Linked DNA regions of Callithrix jacchus. The protein of the gene in region 2 interacts with the protein of the main gene of each other region in a pairwise test. Links are inferred from orthologs where the notes say so. Each region holds a gene or a part of one and is shown on either strand. Other genes may lie near its edges.

Region 1 (8,180 bases), on a different chromosome or scaffold from region 2:
ATGTGCCTAATAATCAACGGCAACTTGAATATGAAAAGATTTTAGTCCCACTCTCCTGTTGAGGAGGGGCTGAACACAACATGCAGTCAAAGAGTAAGAACCACTGCCTTTCCTCACAGAATGAATCTAGGAGGAAATAAATACAAAGCATTTCTGTTTGTAACCACAGATGAATTGAGACAAGTAGGGAAATTTAGAACTACCACTCCAGCCATTATTCCTTCAAAGCTACAAGCCTACTCTGAAGTGAGGGGCCAGGGTAATAGCCCAAACGGGGGAATGAGGTCTCCTCAATTTGAAAAGAGTAAAAATTTCATAAGAATTCCCATCCACTTACGTTTATCCAGACCCTCAGATAACTAGAATTTATATTATCACAACCTGACTAGAATGATCAACAGATGTGTCTGGAGTAAGAAGGAACAGAAAAGGGTGAAGCATCTCACTGCTGGATTACAGGCTCTGCATCTGGAGCCACATACTTGGGCTGTTATCTCAGAGCAGACAGAGTTAAGTCTCTCTCTCACACACACACAATTATGTCGTACTTTAACAAGAAATTCTGGGGAAGAAACATACCACAAGGCTATCATCCCAAAAGGCTACTTTTAAAATCACCATTCTCAACACTAAGAGGACTTCTATTTGGTATATATGCTCAATATTAAAACAAACTTGAATGTCTTGATAGAGGGTTTCAATAGTGTGAAAGGCTACAAGTTGACTATGCATTTCTTGTTTGATTAAAAATAGTCTGAGGAAAAAATATCTTTATAATCCAAATATATACAGATAAATTGTATAAATCTTAAAGGGAATTAGACATTAGAGGAAAATTAGGAAAGTCAAATTATGAGCTTATCTCAATATAATTTACAGAGGGGCAAATATAAAGTTAATAAGAAAAAGTTTAAAAGCTGGATTAAAAACCATCCATGAGAGGTACAGGCATACAGACCTAAACAGTTTTTCCTGTTACTGACACAGCCTCACCTCAGAGTTCCTAAGATTAACACCTTGGTTTTTAAGACAAGTTTCAGGAAGGTCATATGTCCTGCAACTGGGAAAGTTAAATTGAGACAAAACGACTTAAAGGGCAGCACAATTTAGCAGTTAAGAATGCACTTTGGAATCGGGCTTGATGCTCAGTTTTGGCACTGGATGACCTTAGGCAAATTATCTAAGCTCTTATAACCTCAACTTCCCTTCTATAAATACAAATAAATAGTGGTGTCCACCATATAGTGGAATTGTGAACATTAAATAGGAGTACATGTTAAGTCCAACAGGGCACAGTGGCTCACACCTGTAATCCTAGCACTTTGGAAGGACGAGGCGGGTGGATCACGAGGTCAGGAGTTCAAGACCAGCCTGGCCAACATGGCGAAACCCCGTCTCTACTAAAAATACAAAACTTAGCCAGGCAAGGTGGCCCATGCCTATAGTCCCAGCTCCTCAGGAGGCTGAAACAGGAGAACTGCTTCAACCCAGGAGGCAGAGGTTGCAGTGAGCCAAATTTGCACCTCTGCACTTCAGCCTGGGTGATAGAGCGAGACTCTGTTAAAAAAAGAGAGATAGTATATGTTAAGTCCATAGTACAGTGTCTGGCACATAGTGCTTAACAAATGCCAACTAATATTAACAGTAATAGAATACACTGGTTGTCAAATGCTTGTACTCAGCCCACCTAGGGATCACCCCAGAGGCTTCTGGGTTCATAAAGGAACAGGGGGTGTGAACAATGCAGAGATGCTAAAATACGCTGCAATGCACCATAAAGAATTGTCCCATACAAAACACCAACAAATCCTCACTATTAAGAAAAAGATAATCAGTATCAATGTTCCTAGAACTATCTGAGATGTAAAAAATAAAAAGTCACCAAAACTACACTTACATTTTTAAACATGCACCCATTAGAGACAAATTTTTCTGGCTTGATCACATTTGATGGAAGACTAATGGGACTTGGCACTGTTATTTTCAAAGCCCACCACGTGTTCAGATGACTTGAATGCCAGCCATAAAAAAATAAACTCAATATAGTCAAACCACAAGTAGCAGAGAATAAAATTATAGCCAAAAAGTATCTAAAGCCATGATTCTTAATGGGGACAGGCAACTTAACAGAACATTTACAAACTCGGTATGCCTTGCACTAGCATTTTCTCTCTCACAGACTCACATACCAGCCTCTGCTGAAACCTGAGTTCTAAAGAACAATATTTATGTACAAACTACATGGCATAATAAGCAGCAAATTTTTTTTACATAAAATTATTAGTTGTGCATTTGAGGTATGTGTTTTAAACAGTTTTTAGAAACAATTGTGTCTCCTTCCTGACAGAAGGAAATAGACTCATGAATGGTACCTTAAAAAGCTAAACTACTGATTGATTCAAGGAAGGCTTCAAAGTCAATACTAGGGTGGCTGGTTTGAAAGAAGGTAGAGCCCATAAGACTACGGATGTGCACTTTGGGTAAAATTAACGAAGAAAATCTTTGACTTAGTAAGGGAGATCTCACCATTCTGACATGTTCTCATCAGAGCCCTGTTTTTGTTCATCTGTTTCACACTCCATCCTTTCTTTTCTTCCTGTTTTGCTTAGGAAAGTCCTATTTTCTGCTGATTCACACAACCCATGGCCTGATGAGGTCCAAGGAGTATTCTCCTTCCAGCGGGACAGACGTTGCTTCTTGGCAGACTTGAACCTGCAGCCTCTCTCATAGCTCCAATCTGACACCTTCAGCTTCTGCTGAAGGCTAGCAGCCACCTCTGATGTCACTCGCTTCACCTTCCGCCTGCGTCTGAGTGGTCGACAAGGTGCATTTTCAGTAAAGGAGTCAGATTCATGCCAAGAATGTTGCTTACTCTTAACAATGGCATTGAGAGCTGGGTGTCGTTTGGCTACCATTGTGTCATCAGAGTCACTAAAATTGGTCACAGGAGCCACTTCTCGACAGTCCTTAGTGGCCTCATCCAGACTTGACTCAGAGGCCTCGCTGTAGCAGCAGGTATGCTCTGCCAGGTGAGTGAAGTCAGAACGACGCTTCCGACCTCGGCGTTTCCGAAGCTGCCGCCTCTGCTGCCGGGGACTCAGGGCCATCTCCTCCCACAGCTCACCAAGCTTATTTTGCTCAGATGTTTGCTCCAAGGCTGATGCTAAGTCGTGTACCAGCTCATCCATGAGGCCACATCTCCCAAAAGGAAGTTCAGAGGGGAAAAAAAGAAAAAGAAAAAGAGAGCCTGAAAGGATCTGTTGTTTTGGAATAATTTGATAAAACAGATCATAGTAGTCCATAGTTCCGCCTGCCTAAACAAAGTAAGTAACCTTTCATCTGGCTACACTTAGATTCTGTTCCTACCACTTCCTTAAGTCACTAAAAATAGGTGTTCTGTCCCTTGTTAAATGACTGAAGTCAACATATCCTTAAGCACAAAAACCTGCTCACCAGATGACAACTGGGACAGGACCCAAAACAAATTTGGGGAACTAGACCCGTCTCTCTTTCCCCAATTAAACGTGTCACTGAATTACCTAATGATGAGATCCAGAAAGATTAGAGATTGTCATTAGACAGGAGTAGAAAAACACACAACTTCAAAATCACAGCAGAGCTGTGGAAACACAGAGCAGGACACAGTCTCAACGAGTATTAAGAATGAATAAAAAACTGCTCTTTGGCCTGGGGTCACTGCCTTCCATGGCCATGGCAGAAAGACAACTTAGTGACACCCTTTAAAGAAGACTGCAGTTTTTGTGATCCAAGAAATTGTGGTGCCCAGGTTTGAAGTCAGAAAGGAGAATAGACTAAGTTTGCACCCATTCTGGTAGCAACTACCACCTGAAAGCTACCAGGTATAGAACCTCATATAGTATGTCATATATTTCTGAGTAATTAACAATTTTTAAGCCCCTTTCCTATCCTTCAGAAAATAAATGTTCATCCTACTTATGTGCTTCAGTGCCACACAATCACTGGAAAAAAATGATACGACAGCAGCTGAAATGACAGGGATAAGTTGAAGTTTCTAAGATTTCTGGCCGAACTGCTTTCCAAAATTTCTTATTTTTCTATCCATCCTCAAACCAAACATCACACTTCAGGAGTCACTTCAGAGGCAAACATTTCAAGAAACGAGAGCAGTAGGAGCAATCTTCAAAATTCCCTCTTAAGGGGAAATGTTTAATATAATTTGTACAGCACCTAATTAAATACATATTAAATTTTTAGCACTTTTTTCGTTGCCCCTGTGCCCAAAGTATTTCAAGATCAAAACTAGAGCTTAAAACTCTATGTGGTGCCACTCTGACCATATTTCCATTCATTCAGTTTTCACTTTGCAAAGCGTTTTCTAAATACTATTTTCATGCCGTGCCTACGTCAATGAATTTAAAGGCAGGAAAACAGTCCTCTGGCTTATCTGCCACACCTTTAGGAGCAATGGTGACACCTACTTCCAAAACTGCCATACAAACAAAGCTTCTCAAACTGTCCAAAGGCACATACACTTTTAAAAGGCCAAGTTCTTTTAAGCAATAAGAAGTGATTTATCAACACCTGTGAAAAGAGGAGAAAAAAAATGGGGGGGGGGGAGCTGGTTAAAAATGCCATGATTGAGGTTTGGGAGACAACTGTCCCTAAGACCAAAATAGAGAAACAAGTGGGAACAGCATGCCTAAATCCACTTCCCTAATAAAGAATTACTGCTTTAAAAACTCAGGCGACAAAAATACAAAAACAAAAGTACAAACAAAAACCTCAGAACAGCACAAACTTGAACAGGGAACGAAGTCAGTAGTCGAATGCCTGTGCAGAATCCTTTCCTGCATCAAAGCCTGCAACTCGAACAGTAGGTGACAGAAGGTCCCTAGGGCTTCCATCTCCAGTCGAGTGCACACTCTCGAGAGGACTCGGCGACCAGGCATGCACCCGGGTAGAGATGAGGCTGAGTCACGCACAGGAAGGAACTGGTAGTTGCGGACAGCAAGTAAGAAGAGAGGCAGGAGCAGGGTGGAAGTGAGGGGCGGAGTAGGAGATGCGAGAGGCAGGAGACAACTTCTCATTTGGGCTCACCAAGGACGGGGTTCGGCTATTCTAGAGCAGAAACTGCCAAAATGGAAGTCGTAGCGACTGAGCTCCCTCCGGGATCGGGGGTCGCAACATGGCCACGTATGTGAGAAAAACTGTTTTCGAAGGACTCTCCACCACGCCCCGGCCCGTCCCTGAGGGCTGGAGCGACCATGGCCCGTTTCCCAAGCCCTCATGCTGCCGCCAGCCCCAAAGAGGCAGAAAGAAAGGGGAAAAGGGGGCTGTGGCCCCGGAGACTGTCCGACCCACACCCCCAGGGATAGGGACATGGGCCCTGAAAAAGCAAGGCCCCACCACCCTCACCCTCCGGCCGGCTGCCGCAGCCCCAAGACGCCCTTAGCCGCTCAGCCGCTGCTTGGCGATCCGATCCCCTATGGCCCTAGCCCTCAGGACCCCAACACTCTCAACCCACTCCACCCCCTCACCAGCTGCCGCAGCCACCTCGAACGGCCGCCGCTTTTTGGGCCGATTCTCACCGCCGGGGTTTCCCTCTCTGACCTCATTTCCGTTCTGGGCCGGAGGGGTGGGGCGGCGGCGAGTGGGTGGGGCTGGCTGCAAGAGCGGGCCCCCGACCCAGTGCTTCCGCCCGTGGCCACACCCACTTCCGCCCTGAGGTGGGCGGGGCTGCAGGAAGCCGGGAGATGGGGCAGGGACCAAGGAAGGATGGTGAATAGGGGCTGGCCGGGAAAGGGCGCCTCAGGGGCTGAGGTGCCCGTGTTGGGAACTACTCCAGCAGGCTGGCCTCATCTTCCTTAGGGGCGTCCAGAAATTGACGCTAGGGAGGGTTGTCAGCTTCCCCCTTGCTTTCTGACCTTTATAAAGGGTGTGCGAAGTTGAGGGGAAATGGATCTTAATGACATCTGCCCTGTGAGCTGGTACAACCTTTGGGGGGGTTGTTTTGCACTGAGTTACTCAGAACATTACAAACTGCCTTGAGCAAGTGATACTGGATTATAACTCAAAGTATAAAAGAAATATTCGTGAATCCATACCGATATAAATAAACGACTGAATGAATTAAAGATTGGAGAAGAAACAAATCCCCCACAGAAGAATCTCAAAGTATGCAGACACACCATCCTGGAGCATAAATTCCACCTCCTTAAATGTGGGCTCTGCATATTGACTTCTTTCCCAAAAGTACAACATATGAAAAGGGGAAAGTGAGTAATTTTACAGTGGATACCTGGCAAACAGTAATTCAGCCAGGTGACCAAGAGTACGTGCTAAATCATGTTGATAGTATGTGGAATGATATGTAATGAGAATGGCACTTTATGATAGTGTCCTTCCATATCTCATAACCCCAGTCTAATTATAAGAAAAGAAAAATCAGGCCAGGCGTGGTGGCTCACACCTGTAATCCCAGCACTTTGGGAGGCCGAGGCGGGTGGATCACGAGGTCAAGAGATCGAGACCATCCTGGTCAACATGGTGAAACCCCGTCTCTACTAAAAATACAAAAAATTAGCTGGGCATGGTGGCACGTGGCTGTAATCCCAGCTACTCAGGAGGCTGAGGCAGGAGAATTGCCTGAACGCAGGAGGTGGAGGTTGCGGTGAGCGAGATCGTGCCATTGCACTCCAGCCTGGGTAACAAGAACGAAACTCCATCTCAAAAAAAAAGAAAAGAAAAGAAAAATCAGACAAACCTGAATTGAGGGACATTCTGCAGAGTGCATGATCAGTATTCATCAAAATGGTTAAGGTCAGCAAAAGCAAGGAAAGTCTGAGAAACTCAGAGCCAGGAGGAGCCTAAGGAGACATGACAATGTAATATGGTATCCTGGCTGTGACACTGCAATTTAAAAAAGAACATTAGGTAAAAACTAAGGAAAACTGGATAAAGTATCAACTATAATAATGTATTGGGCCAGGCGCGATGGCTCACGCCTATAATCCCAGCACTTTGGGAGGCCGAGGTGGGCAGATCACTGAGGTCGGGAGATAGAGACCAGCCTTGCCAACATGGAGAAACCCCCTCTCTACTAAAAATACAAAAAATTAGCCGGGTTTGGTGACATATGCCTGTAATCCCAGCTACTTGGGAGGCTGAGGCAGGAGAATAGCTTGAGCTAGGGAAGTGGAAGTTGCAATGAGCGGAGATAGAGCCACTGCACTCCAGCCTGGGCAACAGAGCGAGACTCCTCAAAAAAAAAAAGAGTGAATAATAGGGGAAATTGTGTGGATTATACAGAAACTGTAGTATCTTCATAATTTTTCTCTACACCTAAAACTATCCTAAAATAAAAAAATATTTTACAATATGCATATGCCTTGGTCCCAGAAATTTTTCCCTAAGAATTTTATTCTAAGGGAAAATTGAAAATAGGCACAAAAATGTTAAATATAGGTAAATTATCTCTGCAGCATTTTTGAGGGAGAGATGAGGAAACTAGAAAAAGCCAGAAGTTCTATAACAGGCATTAGTTAACTGAATGATGGTACTTCTATGGTGGAATACCTTGCAACTTTTTTAAATTGGTGTTGCAAAAGAATATTTAATGACATGAAAAGCCACTGACTTATGATTGTGTACAATTCTGAATGACTGTTATACTTCAATAAAAAGATTAAACATGTAGAGTATGAGTCACATACAAAGGAAATTAAATCTATACTTGCATAGGCGTATGACCAGAAGAATACACTACACAACATCCAAAAGTTTCATTATCAATGATTATATCTCATGTGTGTGTGTGTGTGTGTATGTGTGTGTGTGTATTTTCAGAATTTTCTATAGGTGAAACATTGTGTAAAAAGTCAAGGTAGGAGACAAAGATAGCCAAGGTTTCGAGCTAGGATGACTAAGATAATGGTCAGTGCCCAGCTACAGAAGTCAAGAAGATAAACAGGTTTGGTGGAAAGATGATTAATTCCATTTTGGACATGCTGAATTTGTGACTCCCACAGGAGTCACAAATATGGAAATATTCAACAGGTGTCCACAGCCATCAGGCCTCTTTTCTGCATAAATGAAAATTTTCTCCCACAAATCATCTCTGTTTTCATGGTGTTGGTTGCCTGCATCAGCACTGAGAGCTCCCAAATTTCTTGAAATCCAACTTATATTTTTGTCTTTCT
Region 2 (7,660 bases):
GTGGTATGCCACTGTCATCCCAGCTGTTTGGGAGGCTGAGGCAAGAGAATCCCTTGAACCCGGGAGGCGGAGATTGCAGTAAGCCAGGAGCATGCCACTGTACTCCAGCCTGGGCAACACAGCAAGATTCTGTCTCAAAAAAAAAAAAAAAAAAAAAAACTATTTGAATTTGTGCTTATGAATTTTGGTTTTGGCAACAATTTAGGGGCCAGGCACGATGGTTCATGCCTGTTACCCGGTACTTTGGGAGACAGAGGTAGGCAGTTCAAGACCAGCCTGGCCAACATGGTGAAACCCCATCTCTACTAAAAATACAAAAATTAGCCGGATGTAGTTGCAGGCACCTTTAATCCAAGCTACTTGGGAGGCTGAGGCAGGAGAATCTCTTGAACCCAGTAGATGGAAGTCACAGTGCGTGGAGATGAAGTCACAGTGAGCCAAGATGGCACTGCTGCACTCCAGTCTTGGCGATAGAGCAAGACTCTGTCTCAAAATAAAGAAACACTAAGTGGTAAATTTAAGCATTATAAATTCTGAACGAATGGAGAAATTATTGACTACTGTAGAAAAGTAGGAAGTTAGAAGGCCAAATTTTGTATAGTTTATGCTGTTTTCATGTTATGAGTTGACTAATTCCATTATTGCTGTAATTTTGTCTCTAACCACTTATTCTGTGCAACAACTGCCGTTTGTCCTCTGGCTTGGTAACCTCTTTAGTTCAGGGGTCATTATCAGGATGTCACTGGCAGCTTAAGCTATAAGTAGCAAATATTAGATAGGTAACATTTACTGGTCTTTTGCTACATGCCAGGCACTGCACTAAGTGTACTATCCTTGAGGTATGTTCTCTTCTTATTTGAAGCTGAGGAAACTGAAAGTATGGCTTGCCTGAGGTCACTTCATTTCACTCTGGTCATGGGAGTGTAGGCTTGGACTCTCCTACCCTATATTATCTCTCAAAGAAAATGAGAGAGAAAGGCTAGTAGAAAACATAAAAAAGGAAAGAACAAATAGGTAGGGCTTATTCCACTCTTTCTGGGCTAACAGCTCTTTATTTTTATTAATTAATTTATTTTGTTTTAAAATTTTTTGAGATAGAGTCTTGCTCTGTCGCCTAGGCTGGAGTGCAATGGCGAGATCTCAGCTCACTGCAACCTCTGCCTCCCGGGTTCAAGGGATTTCTCCTGCCTCAGCCTCCTGAGTAGCTGGGACTACAGGCATAAGCCACCATGCCTGGCTAATTTTTTAAATATTTTTAGTAGAGATGGGGTTTCACTGTGTTGGCCAGGATGGTCCTGATCTCCTGACTTTGTGATCCACCTGCCTTAGCCTCCCAAAGTGCTGGGATTACAGGTGTGAGCCACCGCACCCAGCCCAGCTAAAAGCCCCTTAAAGAAAAAGATTTGACTACAAATTGTGGAAACACAGAGCTCATGTGCCAATTGGCTGTGACAGTTACAGCCTTTGGAAGAGGGGTTTTGTTTTTGTGTCCCATTTAGCAAGCAAGTAAGTGAGCAGGAGAGAAAACAGATGAGCAGAAGCACAGAAATTGAAATAAGTAAAGTGTGGGGAGGGACTCCATAGTGTCCTGGAGGAGGCACACCTGTCAATTATTGGTGCCCTGTGAAGTAATGTATTAGATGTTTCTTGGGATCACAGGGAAGTTGGGTATGGGGAGGATCAGGGCCATTTTCAGGGAGTTGTGTTTCAAAGGAAGAATACCTTGGGCCAAGTAGAGAAAGGCAGTCTCAGACAGAGGAAATAGCATGGAAAGATAATCAGGAAATGACAAGTAATTTTATATAGCCAAACCTCTTAAGAGTCTGTGTGGAAGGCGTTGAGTGTAGAGGTGAGGCTAGAAGTTTGGGATCGATGTTTTGGAAGTTGGTAGAGAACCGTGGAAGGGTTTTTAGCATAGGCAGAAAATCATTAGAAAAGTATTTAAGAGAAAAGGTCTGGGGAGGATTGCCTGTGAAGGGGGCAGGGACCAAAGGTAAGAGTACTCATGGAGAGACTGATGTAGGGCTCAAGCTACTTCCCCCTCAGCTGTGAGTCTGGGGGCTCTCTAGTTTTGAGGCTCCTAGCTTTAGAGAATACACAGGGCCTCTACAAACTTGCACAGAGGGGATTGGAGGCTTTTGTCACCTGAAAGAAGAAAGTGGAGGAAGGAATATGATACTTGACACCCATTGAGTGGGTAGGGATCAGGCTTTGGGGCCCAACTTGCTGTAGGGAGGATTGCAGAGGTCAGCTCTAAAGGGGCAGGTGCCTCTCCCAGCCCCCACTTTTCTATTTCCTCAGGCCAAACTGCAGGGGCACCTGGAACCACTGAGGAAGCACCTGGAGGCTGTGCAGAAGATGAAGGCCAGGGAGGAGAGGCGAGTGACAGAGCTGAAAGTGAGTGAATGCCCTTGACGGGCTGATGGGTACTGTCTGTGGTCAAGGCAAGGAAGGTGGTGCTGCCCATCTCACAAGTGGTGACTTGGTCCCCTGAGGAGGGGACAGCCAATGCCTGGGAGAGGGGTAGATTCTTTTCCTAGGTACTGAGGAGAGGTGGCTTAGAGAATCCGTAGGCATGTCCATTCTTGAGTTCCAAAATGGAGTGGAAACTGAGGCCTGGATTGAAGGGGCTGGGTCTCTGGCCTAAGGCTGCAGAACAGGCTTTCTACCCAGACACCAGAGCTTGAAGTGGGCAAAGCAAAACCCACACAGCAGCCAACAGAGAAGCTGCTGGCCCCAGGATCAATGCAGTCAGTGGGCAGAGAAGCCCTGAGATGAGCCTGACACGGTCTTGGGACACTTGCTGTGTCCCGGGAAGGGACCAGTGTGTTTAAGCTGGGGCAGGAATTAGTGTATGTTAGCATTGCAGAGACCGAATATTTCCTAGTCCAGTGTTTTCTCAGAACCCCCCCACCCTTTTTTTTTTTTTTTTAAAATTATTGCTCACCCTTCTCCAAGGAGTCTTAAGATATTTCTCCATTCCCCACCCCCGGCCTGTTTTCATAAACCCAGCGGGCCCTGCTGGAGTGGGCTGGAACTATGAGCTTCATAGACCAAGCCAAGACCTCCCCTTCTGTCCCTCTTCCTTTCCCTTCCCAGCCAGTGCCTGAGCCTTGCCACTGCCCGGGGCCCATGCTCACTGCCACCTAAACATTAGGGACTGCTGCTGGCAGCTGCTAGGCAGTGAATGTTAGAATCCGTCTGGGAGTAGGACATCATCTTGCTTCTGGCCAGCTGCCCAAGTTGATACTTTTGGGCTTTACTGGGTATAGAGGTAACAGGATTTGTGTGCCCCTGGGGTAGAGTGAAACTGACTGTGGCGGCTATTCCCCTCACGCATCTAGTCAGTTAGGACCCTACTCTGGCCTGTTACTCACAGTGTCTCCAGCTGATGGTAACTGGGTGAAAAGTATGTCCACCACCCAGGATGGCCCATTCTTGGCAAATGGGGTGGAACTGGGCAGGAGATTTTTCTTTTACAGGATATTAGGTATCTACATTATATCCTTGATTTTTGCCTCTTAGCCCACAAAGCATAAAAATATTTACTATCTGGACCTTTACAGAAAAAGTTTTTCAGAGTCCTGTCTAGGGCTTTTGGGTGACTTTCTTAAAGTCACTGTGTTTAATGGTAGAGTCAGGACCCTAACTTCATGTCTTGATTCCTGAATTCTTTTATTCATTTAAAAAAATTTTTACCAAGTGCCTACTCCGGTTGGTGCCATGTCAGGGTCTGAGGGCACTGTGGCAAACTAAAGACATTCTTAGTCCCTGCCAGTGAGAGCTTATGGTACAGTGGGGCAAAGGATGTTAAAGGATATGTCATTGTAAACACAATATTTGTGTGTGTGTGTTTGTGTGTGTGTGTGTGTGTGGTGTGGTGTGTGTGACAGTTTTGCTCTGTCGCCCAGGCTAGAGTGCAGTGGCAGCATGATCTCAGCTCACTGCAACCTCCTCCTCCCAAGCTCAAGCAACTCTCCTGCCTCGGCCTCCTGAGTAGCCAGCACTACAGGCGCATGCCACCATACCCAGCTAATTTTTTGTATTTTTGGTAGAGACAGGGTTTCCCTGTGTTAGCCAGGATGGTCTCAATCTCCTGACCTCATGATCTGCCCACCTTAGTCTTCCAGAGTGCTGGGATTACAGGCATGAGCCACTGCGCCTGGCCCAACGTTTCAATATTATGTGTGCCACAAAGAGAAAACAGTGATATTTGTGGGGATGGTCCTGATTTAGATCTAGAGAAGATATTTGTGGGGATGGTCCCGATTTAGATCTAGAGAAGAGGAAAGGCTTCTCTTGGAATATTTAAGGTTGGACCTGAAGGATGAGTCAAGTTAGACCATGTGGAGAGGAGTGTTCCAGGCAGAGGTTGGTGAGTTTGGGACCAGTGTGCTGGAAGCAAGGGGGTGGCATCTGGTAAGGCTGAGAAGTAAGTCTGGTAGGAAATAAACCTCTTTTTAGGACTTTCTTCGACCTGGGGAGTATAGGGCTCTTTGCCTTGCCTTGTGAAGTGGTAGTTGTAAAACTGGAGGTTATCTTCTTATGTGTTGAGGTGGCATCTACCATCCCCTTTGCACCATTCCAGAGCCAGATGAAGTCAGAGCTAGCAGCAGTGGCCTCAGAGTTTGGGCGGCTGACACGGTTTCTGGCTGAAGAGCAGGCAGGGCTGGAACGGCGTCTCCGAGAGATGCATGAAGCCCAGCTGGGACGTGCGGGAGCCGCAGCCAGTCGCCTTGCAGAGCAGGCCGCCCAGCTCAGCCGCCTGCTGGCCGAGGCCCAGGAGCGGAGCCAGCAGGGGGGTCTCCGGCTGCTCCAGGTAAGCACTGTCCACTCCTTGTTCCCCTAGCATTCTTTGTTGGCTGTCAGGCAGTGCTTACCAAACACCTGTCCAGAGCTGCTGCTTCTCACTGGGAGGAACCCACAATGATTTAACCTGAAGACCAAAAACATTTTTTAAAGCTCGAGATAGAGTTAATGTCGAATGTGGTATGTGTGATGATTATACCCAGTGAAAAACAGAAAGATTCGGTTGTAGGAGAGGTTTAAATGACAGTTGAGGAAAGGATTTTTGACAGTGACTTCCCAAAAAAGGAGAGCAAGTCATATTATGGAAAGGACAGTATTCCTGGGCTTACAGCAGGAAGAGACGAGTTAGGTATGGTGAGGCATGGGGTGGTTGAAATGATGTGTGTCTATTGAGGCCGTGAAGGTGCTGCTTCTCCCTTCCTGCTCAGGTTCAGTCTCTGGCTAGAGATTGGGGAAAGCTGTCCCTATGCAGCTGACACTCTCTTTCTTTCTCCCTCTCCCTCTTTTTGTTTCTCTTATTCCCAGGACATCAAGGAGACTTTCAATAGGTGTGTTCCCACTCTTTACCCTTTGTGACCCAGTGGAATCTGGTTCCCTGTCCCTGCCTCTCTTGGGTATCCCTTTCCTCTCCTTCCTTCCCTAGGACCTGAGTTTCTACCTCCTGGACCCTCCTCTCCTTCCCCTCAGCTTTTGTTCTTCCCTCTGGGAATATCATAGTCCCACCCCCTGCCCGGTCCCCTTCCTCCAGGTGTGAAGAGGTACAGCTGCAGCCCCCAGAGGTCTGGTCCCCTGACCCGTGCCAACCCCATAGCCATGACTTCTTGACAGACGCCATCGTGAGGAAAATGAGCCGGATGTTCTGTCAGGCTGCGAGAGGTAGGGAGGTCACCTCCACGACCTTCCTTTGCCTTTCCCTTCATAGACCCTAGATTGGGTCCTGAGGGAAGTTGAGCCCCAGGGAAATTGTGGGGGTTGAGACGGAGCAGGATATAACCTCAGAGGTTGAGGTTTCAAACCATGAGCAGGTAGTCCTAGTCCAGGCAGGCCTGGTGGGTGGGGGTGGGGTGGAGTGGCAAGAAGAGCTGGGGCTAGGGGAAGACCTGTAGGTATCCTGGGAAGAGGAGCAAGATGGAACCTGGTGGAATCTGAGGCTGGCCTCTAGGATGGTGTGGGGAGCTAGATTCAGGAAGGAGGCAGGAAAGGCCAAATCTGTGGAGTTGGCTGCTGAAAGGGGAACAGTTGTTCTAGCTCTGGCATATTTGTCCTCCCCCCCCCCCAAGTGGACCTGACGCTGGACCCTGACACGGCTCACCCGGCCCTGATGCTGTCCCCTGATCGCCGGGGGGTCCGCCTGGCAGAGCGGCGGCAGGAGGTTGCTGACCATCCCAAGCGCTTCTCGGCCGACTGCTGTGTACTAGGGGCTCAGGGTTTCCGCTCTGGCCGGCACTACTGGGAGGTAGAGGTGGGCGGGCGGCGGGGCTGGGCGGTGGGTGCTGCCCGTGAATCAACCCATCATAAGGAAAAGGTTGGCCCTGGGGGGTCCTCCATGGGCAGCGGGGATGCCAGTTCCTCGCGCCATCACCATCGCCGTCGCCGGCTCCACCTACCCCAGCAGCCCCTGCTCCAGCGGGAAGTGTGGTGTGTGGGCACCAATGGCAAACGCTACCAGGCCCAGAGCTCAACAGAACAGACACTGCTGAGCCCGAGTGAGAAACCACGGCGCTTTGGTGTGTACTTGGACTATGAAGCTGGGCGCCTGGGCTTCTACAACGCAGAGACTCTAGCCCACGTGCACACCTTTTCGGCTGCATTCCTGGGTGAGCGTGTCTTTCCTTTCTTCCGGGTGCTCTCCAAGGGCACCCGCATCAAGCTCTGCCCTTGATCATCCTGCCACCCGCAGGGGCCCCTCTGGTCAGCACTTGGGGGGCGGGTGGTGGAGGAGGGTGGCCCATAAGTTGGAGGGCTCAAAGGCTCTTCCCACTGTTTAGTGTTGCTTCCCACTCCCCCTTGACCCCAGGCCCCTGCTTCTACCTCTAGGAGCCTAAAGAACCCTCCTGGCCTCCAGCTAAGCCTTCTCTCACCTACTATGTCTGTCCACCAGGTCTGCATGGGTCCCTGGTAATGAGAACAGCTGCCTGGTCTTCTCTCCCTGTCTGCCTAGCCCAGCCCTGGGACCTGAATTTGAGTAGGGGTTGAGGGGAAATTGCAATTTCATTCCTTAACTTCCTTTTCCTCATCCATGCCCTTCAACCTTTACATCAGTTCTGAGGCTGGAGGATTTGGGTGAGACAGCGTCCCCATTCCAGTTCCATTTTCTGATGCAAATTTTAGCTGAGGGATTTGGAAGCCATTTGGGGAGGGAGGCAAACTTTCCTTCCGTCCTCAATTTCTACCTCCATAGACCAGCCAGAATTTAGCTTCACTTGAGAGATCTGGAATGGTCGCCATGATTCAAACACGTACCATTACATCGCCCAATAAATTATTTCTTCCCGTTTCCCTTCTCCAGCACTCAATTGAGAAACAAAGCTTATGCCACCTCACCCCCCATCCAGGTCTATTCAGTGCCAGGCTCCTTTCCCCTTTGTTCAACAGACCTGGCTTCCAATTCCTTTCCATATCTTTAATTCCCTCCATTTGGCAAGCCCTGAGGAGAAGCCTGAAGACAGGGGTCTGGGTCCCCAAGAGGAGAGTCTTGGGTATAATCTATTTTTCTAGTAACGCCTTGCCTTGTCACTTATCAGCTTTTGCCCTCTGCTTTGATGGCTGAGGTGAACTCATGTTCTTTGGGAAAAGGGAAGGGGTGCTATGGAAATAAAATATTTGCTTCTCTTGTGAGGTCCATTCCATT
Region 3 (7,489 bases), on a different chromosome or scaffold from region 2:
ATAGCAAAGTTTGAGATAGATATGTAGGAGGATTACTTTTTAAATCATGTTAGAGGCCTTTTCAAGACTCCCGAAAAACATGACCCCCATTATCTGTCATTGTGTATGAATAGATTAAATGTTGTGATTTTATATAAATTTATAAATGAGCCTGATGTCATAAACCATACTTGAAATACCAAATATACTGATCTATTTTTAAAGGGTCTTATATATTCTTCCTAGTTAAATTCCTAATTTAATTTTGCAGGAATTTTATTTCCCGACGACCACTAAACAAAGGACATATTTTACCATAAGAATGTTTAACTGCATATATTCTACCACGGATATCAATCTTGCTGCTGGACATTTCAAGCACTTTTTCCTCAGAAATGTAGATTCGTTTTTATATACTATAAGTAGTGAGGTGAAAAAAATCAGTTTATTCAAGTGAGGGGACTATCAAACAATGTTAAATACTGATAAACCCAACACTGATTAACTTTTCTGAAAGAGGTTCAGAAATGATTGCATAATTACTTCCCAGCTAGTTCCTTTACGGACAAGCCCCGCTCAGTGCCTAACACATAATAGAAGCCTGATAAATATTTGTGGAATAAATAACAACTTTTTAATAAAATGAAAATACCTGATAATAATCATTTTAAAATAAGATACCAAATTACTTATTTTGGAGTTTAATGCCAATCATTCCATGTTTAAATCTTCAATAAAATACTTGCTTATGTTATGATTATTTTCTATATGTCTTTTCTCTTATTCATCAAGTCAAGCAACTTCTCCTATATCTATCCATCTATTTGCTCTTTATAAAAGCAGGTATTTACCTGTTTTCAGAAATCAATAAATCCTTTTGAAAACTTGACATTTATGGACTTCCTCCAAAAAACATACCATAGACACAGAAGTTTACACATAGATTCTAAAAAGGTATGGATCTCCTGAAGCATCTCCATAGACCCTTATGAGTAAGATCTTATGTTAAAAAGTTACATTTTATATTTCTTCATAGAAGATGTATTAGTCCATTTTCATGCTGCTGATAAAGACATACCCAAGACTGAGAAGAAAAAAAATTGTAATTGGACTTACAGTTCCACATGGCCGGGGAAGCTTCAGAATCATGGTGGGAGGCAAAAGGCACTTCTTACATGGCAGCAGCAAAAGAAAATGAGAAGGATGCAAAAGCAGAAGCCCCTGATAAAACCATCAGATCTCATGACACTTATTCACTACCATGAGAACAATATGGAGAAACCGTCCCCTTGATTCAAATTATCTCCCATTGGGTCCCTCCCATAACACGTGGGAATTTTGAGAGTACACATTCAAGATGAGATTTGGGTTGGGACACAGAGCAAAACCATATCAGAAGCATATTCATAATTTTATGAGTGTATCCAAGGTAAGCTATATGCACACAAGATTATTCAGTTAAATTATCTCATTGCATAATCTCTGTTAAGAGAGTCAATTTTGTGAACACATGCACTATTTTAGACTACTAGGACCTCACTGGCTCCCTGTGGTAATCATTTACTTAACAGTAAATTATCCACAGGCTAAGAAGTCAAATTTGATTATAACAAACTCTCTTAAGTGGTAGAGATAAGAAAGAAGCAAGAGACAGGCAAGCAAAAAACCCCAAAAAGCAGCTGGAAATAGGTGGGAAAGCAGGTGCTTAATAAAAGGGTGCCAGTTTATCAATGGGAAAGAGGTTAAAGACATACATAATCTACTTTAATCCTAGTAATTTAAAATAATTGACAGGGCTCAGTGGCTCACACCTGTGATCCCAGCACTTTGGGAGGCCAGGATGGGAGGAATGCGTAAAACCAGGAGTTTGAATACCTCCCTGGGCAACACAGGAGGACTCTGTTTCAACAAAAGAAAAAAAATTTAAAAAAAACAAACAAATCCAATATGGTGGCTTAAAAAAAAGAAAAAAATAATTAAAAAAAATAATGAAGGCAAGAGAGGATAAATATAAATCAGTGAAAAAAATATATAGGAACAATGGAATCTGTACAGAATATGAGCTCTGTCCCCTAGGAGCTACAGATAAAACAGAATTGTAGGTAAGCAATTGAAAAGATATTTAAAGGATAGGGAAGTCTTTAATTGAACTAATGAATTTCCAAAGTAATTGACATTATAAGAGAACCTGGATTTTTATTTCCAAAGACAAACCATACAAGCTGTAATTTGCAGATAAAAACTTACATAAAATTTCAAAGTGTATGAAGTTTAAAACTTCATAAAGTTTCACATTAAGGAGCGGAGGCTTCTTTCTCTCATCTCACAGAAACAAGTCTTGAAAATACTCATCGAATTCTTCTTCCCTATTTTTTAAAAAAAGCATACATATTAAGATCAATAGAGTAAAAAATTACTACATGACACATTATATAAGATTAATAAAATAAAATAAGTTAACATATTGGCTGATTCTGCTATATATCAATATATTCTCACTATTCAGCCATCAAATAATTCTTAGTTTCTAGAATAATCATAACTATACCCAGTTTAAAATAAAAATATTTCATATGTTGGTACCTCTCCCTAAATGTATTCCCCAAAATTTTGTTTTGAAATACTTGTGAAATGTCATTGCTTCTCTTTACTTTTTTGTCTTACTTTATCACTTCTTTGTTCATTCTCATTTTAAACTATAGTCTCCTCAATAAATACATTTTGAAAAACTATTTTTAAAGAAAAATGTAAGTTTAGGTTACATTGGGGAATAACTAAGGGGAGTTGGGTAAATCTGCTTAGGCTGTAGTTCTTTTACTACTCTGAGCATAGTAAATATATTATGTATTTGTAGCAGTAGATATTATTGTTTTATTTTTTTAAAACAAAAACTAGTATGACAGCAGTGTAGAAGTGTACTTCCCATGCAAGGGGCTCCATTGCATAGGTTTATGATAATCACAGTATCATGGAATAGGCTTCTCGGATACAGCCATCTCTGAAGAAATCCAAACAAGGACCAGAAGGTCATCTTTTAAAGTGAACTGATCAAAGATTTCTTTACCAGGAGGAAGCTGGACCTGTTGGCTGCTTATGACAATGGCTGGGAATACGCTCTAATCTTACCAGGCTAGGCAGTCCTGGGCATTAAACAGATCATCATAATGTTGTATTTTTTCATTAATAAAGCCACGATTATAGCTTCTAAACTGATTTAAAAGGTACATATCATCCAAAAGAAATTAGGCGGGTATGGCGGTGTGCACTTCTAGTCCCAGCTACTCAGGAGGCTGAGGCAGGAGAATTGCTTGAACCTGGGAGGTAGAGGTTGCAGTGAGCTGAGATTGCACCACTGCACTCCACCCTGGGTGACAGAAGGAGACTCTGTCTCTACCAAAAAAAAAAAAAAAAGGTATGTATTATCTATTAATATCAGCACTTACTGTGATTTTTCATCTGTCTCTGGTAATGGACCCTTCCAAAGTTCAGATTCCGAAGTATTTTCTTCCTTATCAGAGTTTCCTGTTAATTTAAAAGAGATGATTTTTAAAAAATGTATTATATTTAAAACACATTTTTAACTATTTACCAATACAATTAACTTTTTACTTAACTGAGCTTCAATTTTTATGGCTCTCCAGAAGTTTAATTCACTCTCACAGGTATGATAAATTCTTTTGAAACATATATAAATAAGCCAACCAGAGTCTCAGCAAAAAGGCCAAGGATTTTTAAGTCTCATGGAAATTCTCTAAGTTACACTGAGTTAAAGTAGCAATTCCAATATTAACTTTTGTAAGAGAATTATCTCTTGCAATATAGTTGTCTCTGATCTAGCTTCTTCTTTTTCATGGTTCTGCAGAAGACATGCAAGTTAAGACTTATACTTGTAGAGAACATGTTTACATTAGAATTAGCACCTTAAGAACTGAGCTAATATGTAAGACCAGCTAAATTATTTTTTTTTAATTGTCAGACATTTTAAAAAACCAGTGCTGATTACATAATTGGAAGAAGTCTGTTTCAGTGAAGAAACTGGCATTCTCACACATTGCTGGGAGTGAAAATTCTGTAAACCTACTTCTTGAGGAAAATCTGGCAATATAGATAAGTTTAAAACACATACCCTTTGACCAGCAATGCTGCTTTTGGGAATTTGATTATTGACATAGACAAATAAGCACCTCTGTTACATAAGCAAAGATGCACACGGTATAACAACAACAAAAAAATCCAACCTAAATTACCATGAAGTAGGGATTAAGGACTGGTTAAATACTATACAGCTGTTTAAAAATATCAGCATATCTGTATGTACTGCCATAGAAAAATGTCCATTCTATATTAAATTTTTTAAAAGTTACAAAAAGTATGAATAGTATAACATATGTTAAAAGTATATACATGTTATATACATACATGTAATTTTATATATGTATTATAAGTTTGCAAAAACCAACCAAACTTAACAGTGATTATACTACCTGTGGATTTGGAATACTTTTACTTTCTATTTTAAACATTTCTAAATTATTTGTATTTTAAACAAAGACCATGTATTACCTTCAAAATCAGTAAAAACAATATTTTATTTATAAAAACATAATAAAATGGAGATATTTCAAATAAATCACCTGTATTAGTCAACTAAAAATTTAAAAATACTGCAAAATTATCAGGCAATAACACCACATTCCACAAAGTAGTTAAATCAGCAAACAATTCCTCTCCAATAACGATTATTAGTCTAAAAAAGAAATGGTACGAATGTGGCCTGTCAATATAGAATGTCCTTTAGTTAAACACAACGTAAAAATAAAACAGCATTGATTTATTATGGTGGTTCTAGCCTTTTACCTGTTGGACTCTGAACCTTGAATCAACATGTGTCTGAACTTTGCTCCTAACTGAATCTATTCTGGCACCAATTCTAGCAAAAATAGCAAAAGGGGAGAGGGCATTTTGTATTCTAATGATCTACATACAAACGATAAAATTTCAATCTTGAAAACAAGATTCCAGGCTCAATGACAGCCATCACTGGAATGGCCAGTGTCCCAAATTTATAATATGAGGGGAAAAAGAATTAGAATCTTCTCTTATTTTTATGAAAACTCACTAATAAGAAAAACTAACTAGGCTAGTAAGGTTATTACTATGGTGTTACTCTGTTAATGATGCCAGAGAACAAAACCTACAAGGCCTTTAGAAGTGGACAGCTAATTTCAAAAGGATTGACTCTGTTTTCTTATTCTCTTCCAAGAGTACTCCCCACATGCCAGCTTTCTTACACCAGTTTTCTGATATCAGTCAATCAATTTTACTAAAAAAATAAAGTCAGTTTAGAGTAACACTATAAAATAACTGTCTTTAAAAATACCCACTAAAAATGTGGCCAGATATCCCTAGAGAATCAAGTCTACAAGACTGGACTAAATGACCTTTACGGTCCCTTATAACCCTATGAATCTACAGTATCCTGGTTCCCTGAAGGTTGGCAGTCACTACAAATCATTGCTATCATAACTGTTACAACCTACCAGAAGCGGGACAGGTATTATAAGGAAAGAACAACTGGAAGAACAGGCAACACAAAAGAATGCATCACTGGCAAATCTATTCAGTACTTATTGGGAAGTAGTGATCAGAATTTAAGTCACTGACTCTGAGTTGAAAGGGGAAACCCAGAGGTAATTTAATCCAACACTTAGCCAATGAATGAACCTCTCACTGCAACACCTCCAATAACAAGTGGCAATCCAATCCATGCTTGAACACTCACTACTCCAGAGGTAGCCCATTTCTCCATTCCTTTTGTCAGACAGTTCTAAAGGACAAGTTTTTCCTTAAATTAATGCAAAAGTCTGTCTTTGAGCAGTTCTGCCAACTCAGAGTCGTAAAAAATAAGTCTCCTACGTAGTAGCAGCCTTGCAAATGTCCAGACAGTAATTTCCATGTCTACTTCCTCACCTCTTCCTTCCCTTCCCTTCACTCGTCTCCCAGGTCAACTTCTGCAGTTCCTCCAACATTCTCCCTAAACACAATTTCAAGTTCTCTCAATACCTCCGTTTTTTTCTTCTTGATCTGCTTCAAGTTTTCAATGTTCCTTTAGAATGTGGTGCCTAAGACTGCATACAATTTTCCCTGTATATTTTGAATAATGAAAGCAGGCCTATCATCTTGGCTTCTGTGGCTATTACAAGAAAACTAATAACTTGCCCTACTGAAGAAATGGCAAATGTTTCCAATAATCATGATAACAAATGGACAGGTCAGATTTTTATAGACTTAACTTTTCATTTCATCAATTCTAGAGAACAAACACAGGATTTATATCTCTGTATTTTTCTTTTCTGATAATAACAGCTACGGGTTATCAAGGACTTACTTTGTGTCAGCACATACTTTACATGTATGTTTTCTCATTCAATTCTGATAATAATCCAACAAAGTAGGTCTCTTTATACCCATTTTACAGACAGAAGTGAGGCATAGATCAAATCATTTAATGTGGATCTGTATAATGCATACGCCAAAACTAGGGTATAAAGAATAGACAGACAGTTGATTTCACTGATGAACAACTGATTGATGATGCAGATAAAGGGCATAGACTTTGGAATTATAAACTTATGTTTAATCCCAGCTCTGTCATCAACTACTTGACCTTGGACATTTTACTTCAATTCTCCGGTTCTTGGGAGATGTCATGTGCATGGTGACTACAGACAACAATACTTGAAATTTGTTAAGAGGGCAGCAAATCATCAGTATACTTTAAATATATGCATTTTTAAAAATTAAGTTTCTTCATTCATTTAAAAACATTCTCTAGGTCTTGATTTTTCTCATCTACAAAATGAGAATATTATATGCCCATTATTAAGATTAAATGAGGTAACACATCTAAAGCACTTATTACTGAGCTGACAGAAACTGAGTTTTTCTCCATGGCTTTGGTTTTAATAACCCATATGTTAAATGGGTTAAGAAGGTAACTGAGTATTACCCAAATGGAAATAAAACAAACAGCAAAATGTGAGGTCTGAAATTGCCAAGACCATGTAATACAGATGGCTGACTGCCTGAGAGGATATTTGGGGTTGGCATACCATAACAATGTCAATGTTTCCTGCTTGCTATGGTAAATAGCTTTCTGGCTGCCAAATAGCAGGTCAGCTTGAAATGGATAATTTGTTTTTTCAAGGCCAAATTAAGCTAGAGGTTTTTCAGACTGGATACAGTCTTCACAGTATTCACCCTGCTGCTACTAGTAAATATTTCACTTAGTTGAGGAGAAGTAAAACAGAGTTAAGGGTTATTTCTAGGAGGCAGGGAAGGATTCACAGGGTAGGGGTGAAAGACAGTGGGAGGGAGAAGGCAGGCAGAAGAAATAAAAGCATAACATAAATCAGTGATTCAAGAATTTCTCCCAAAATATTTTTTAATAAAAAATTAGAATGAAAAAAGGGGAATTTTTTCTACAATCCATAAGCATTCACACCTCTCA

What was found.
Region 1: the proteins of TRIM41 (region 2) and GPATCH2L interact in binary tests that used the Homo sapiens proteins (3 or more experiments, as listed by UniProt). The two-hybrid records come from large-scale screens. The link is inferred for Callithrix jacchus from reciprocal best matches to the Homo sapiens genes TRIM41 and GPATCH2L.
Region 3: the proteins of TRIM41 (region 2) and FRA10AC1 interact in binary tests that used the Homo sapiens proteins (3 or more experiments, as listed by UniProt). The two-hybrid records come from large-scale screens. The link is inferred for Callithrix jacchus from reciprocal best matches to the Homo sapiens genes TRIM41 and FRA10AC1.

What each region holds. Positions count from the first base shown.
Region 1 is NC_133509.1:111,079,890-111,088,069, reverse strand, and holds the start of GPATCH2L (G patch domain-containing protein 2-like), read right to left. Parts: upstream 5,590-8,180; 5' UTR 5,520-5,589; intron 3,199-5,519; 5' UTR 3,189-3,198; coding exon 2,527-3,188; intron 1-2,526.
Region 2 is NC_133503.1:73,616,969-73,624,628, reverse strand, and holds the end of TRIM41 (E3 ubiquitin-protein ligase TRIM41), read left to right. Parts: intron 1-2,301; coding exon 2,302-2,397; intron 2,398-4,588; coding exon 4,589-4,819; intron 4,820-5,334; coding exon 5,335-5,357; intron 5,358-5,557; coding exon 5,558-5,685; intron 5,686-6,089; coding exon 6,090-6,691; 3' UTR 6,692-6,840; downstream 6,841-7,660.
Region 3 is NC_133513.1:86,405,106-86,412,594, forward strand, and holds the end of FRA10AC1 (protein FRA10AC1), read right to left. Parts: intron 3,502-7,489; coding exon 3,423-3,501; intron 2,346-3,422; coding exon 2,303-2,345; coding exon of another isoform or gene 2,269-2,302; 3' UTR 2,150-2,268; downstream 1-2,149. UniProt on the Homo sapiens protein: May be involved in pre-mRNA splicing.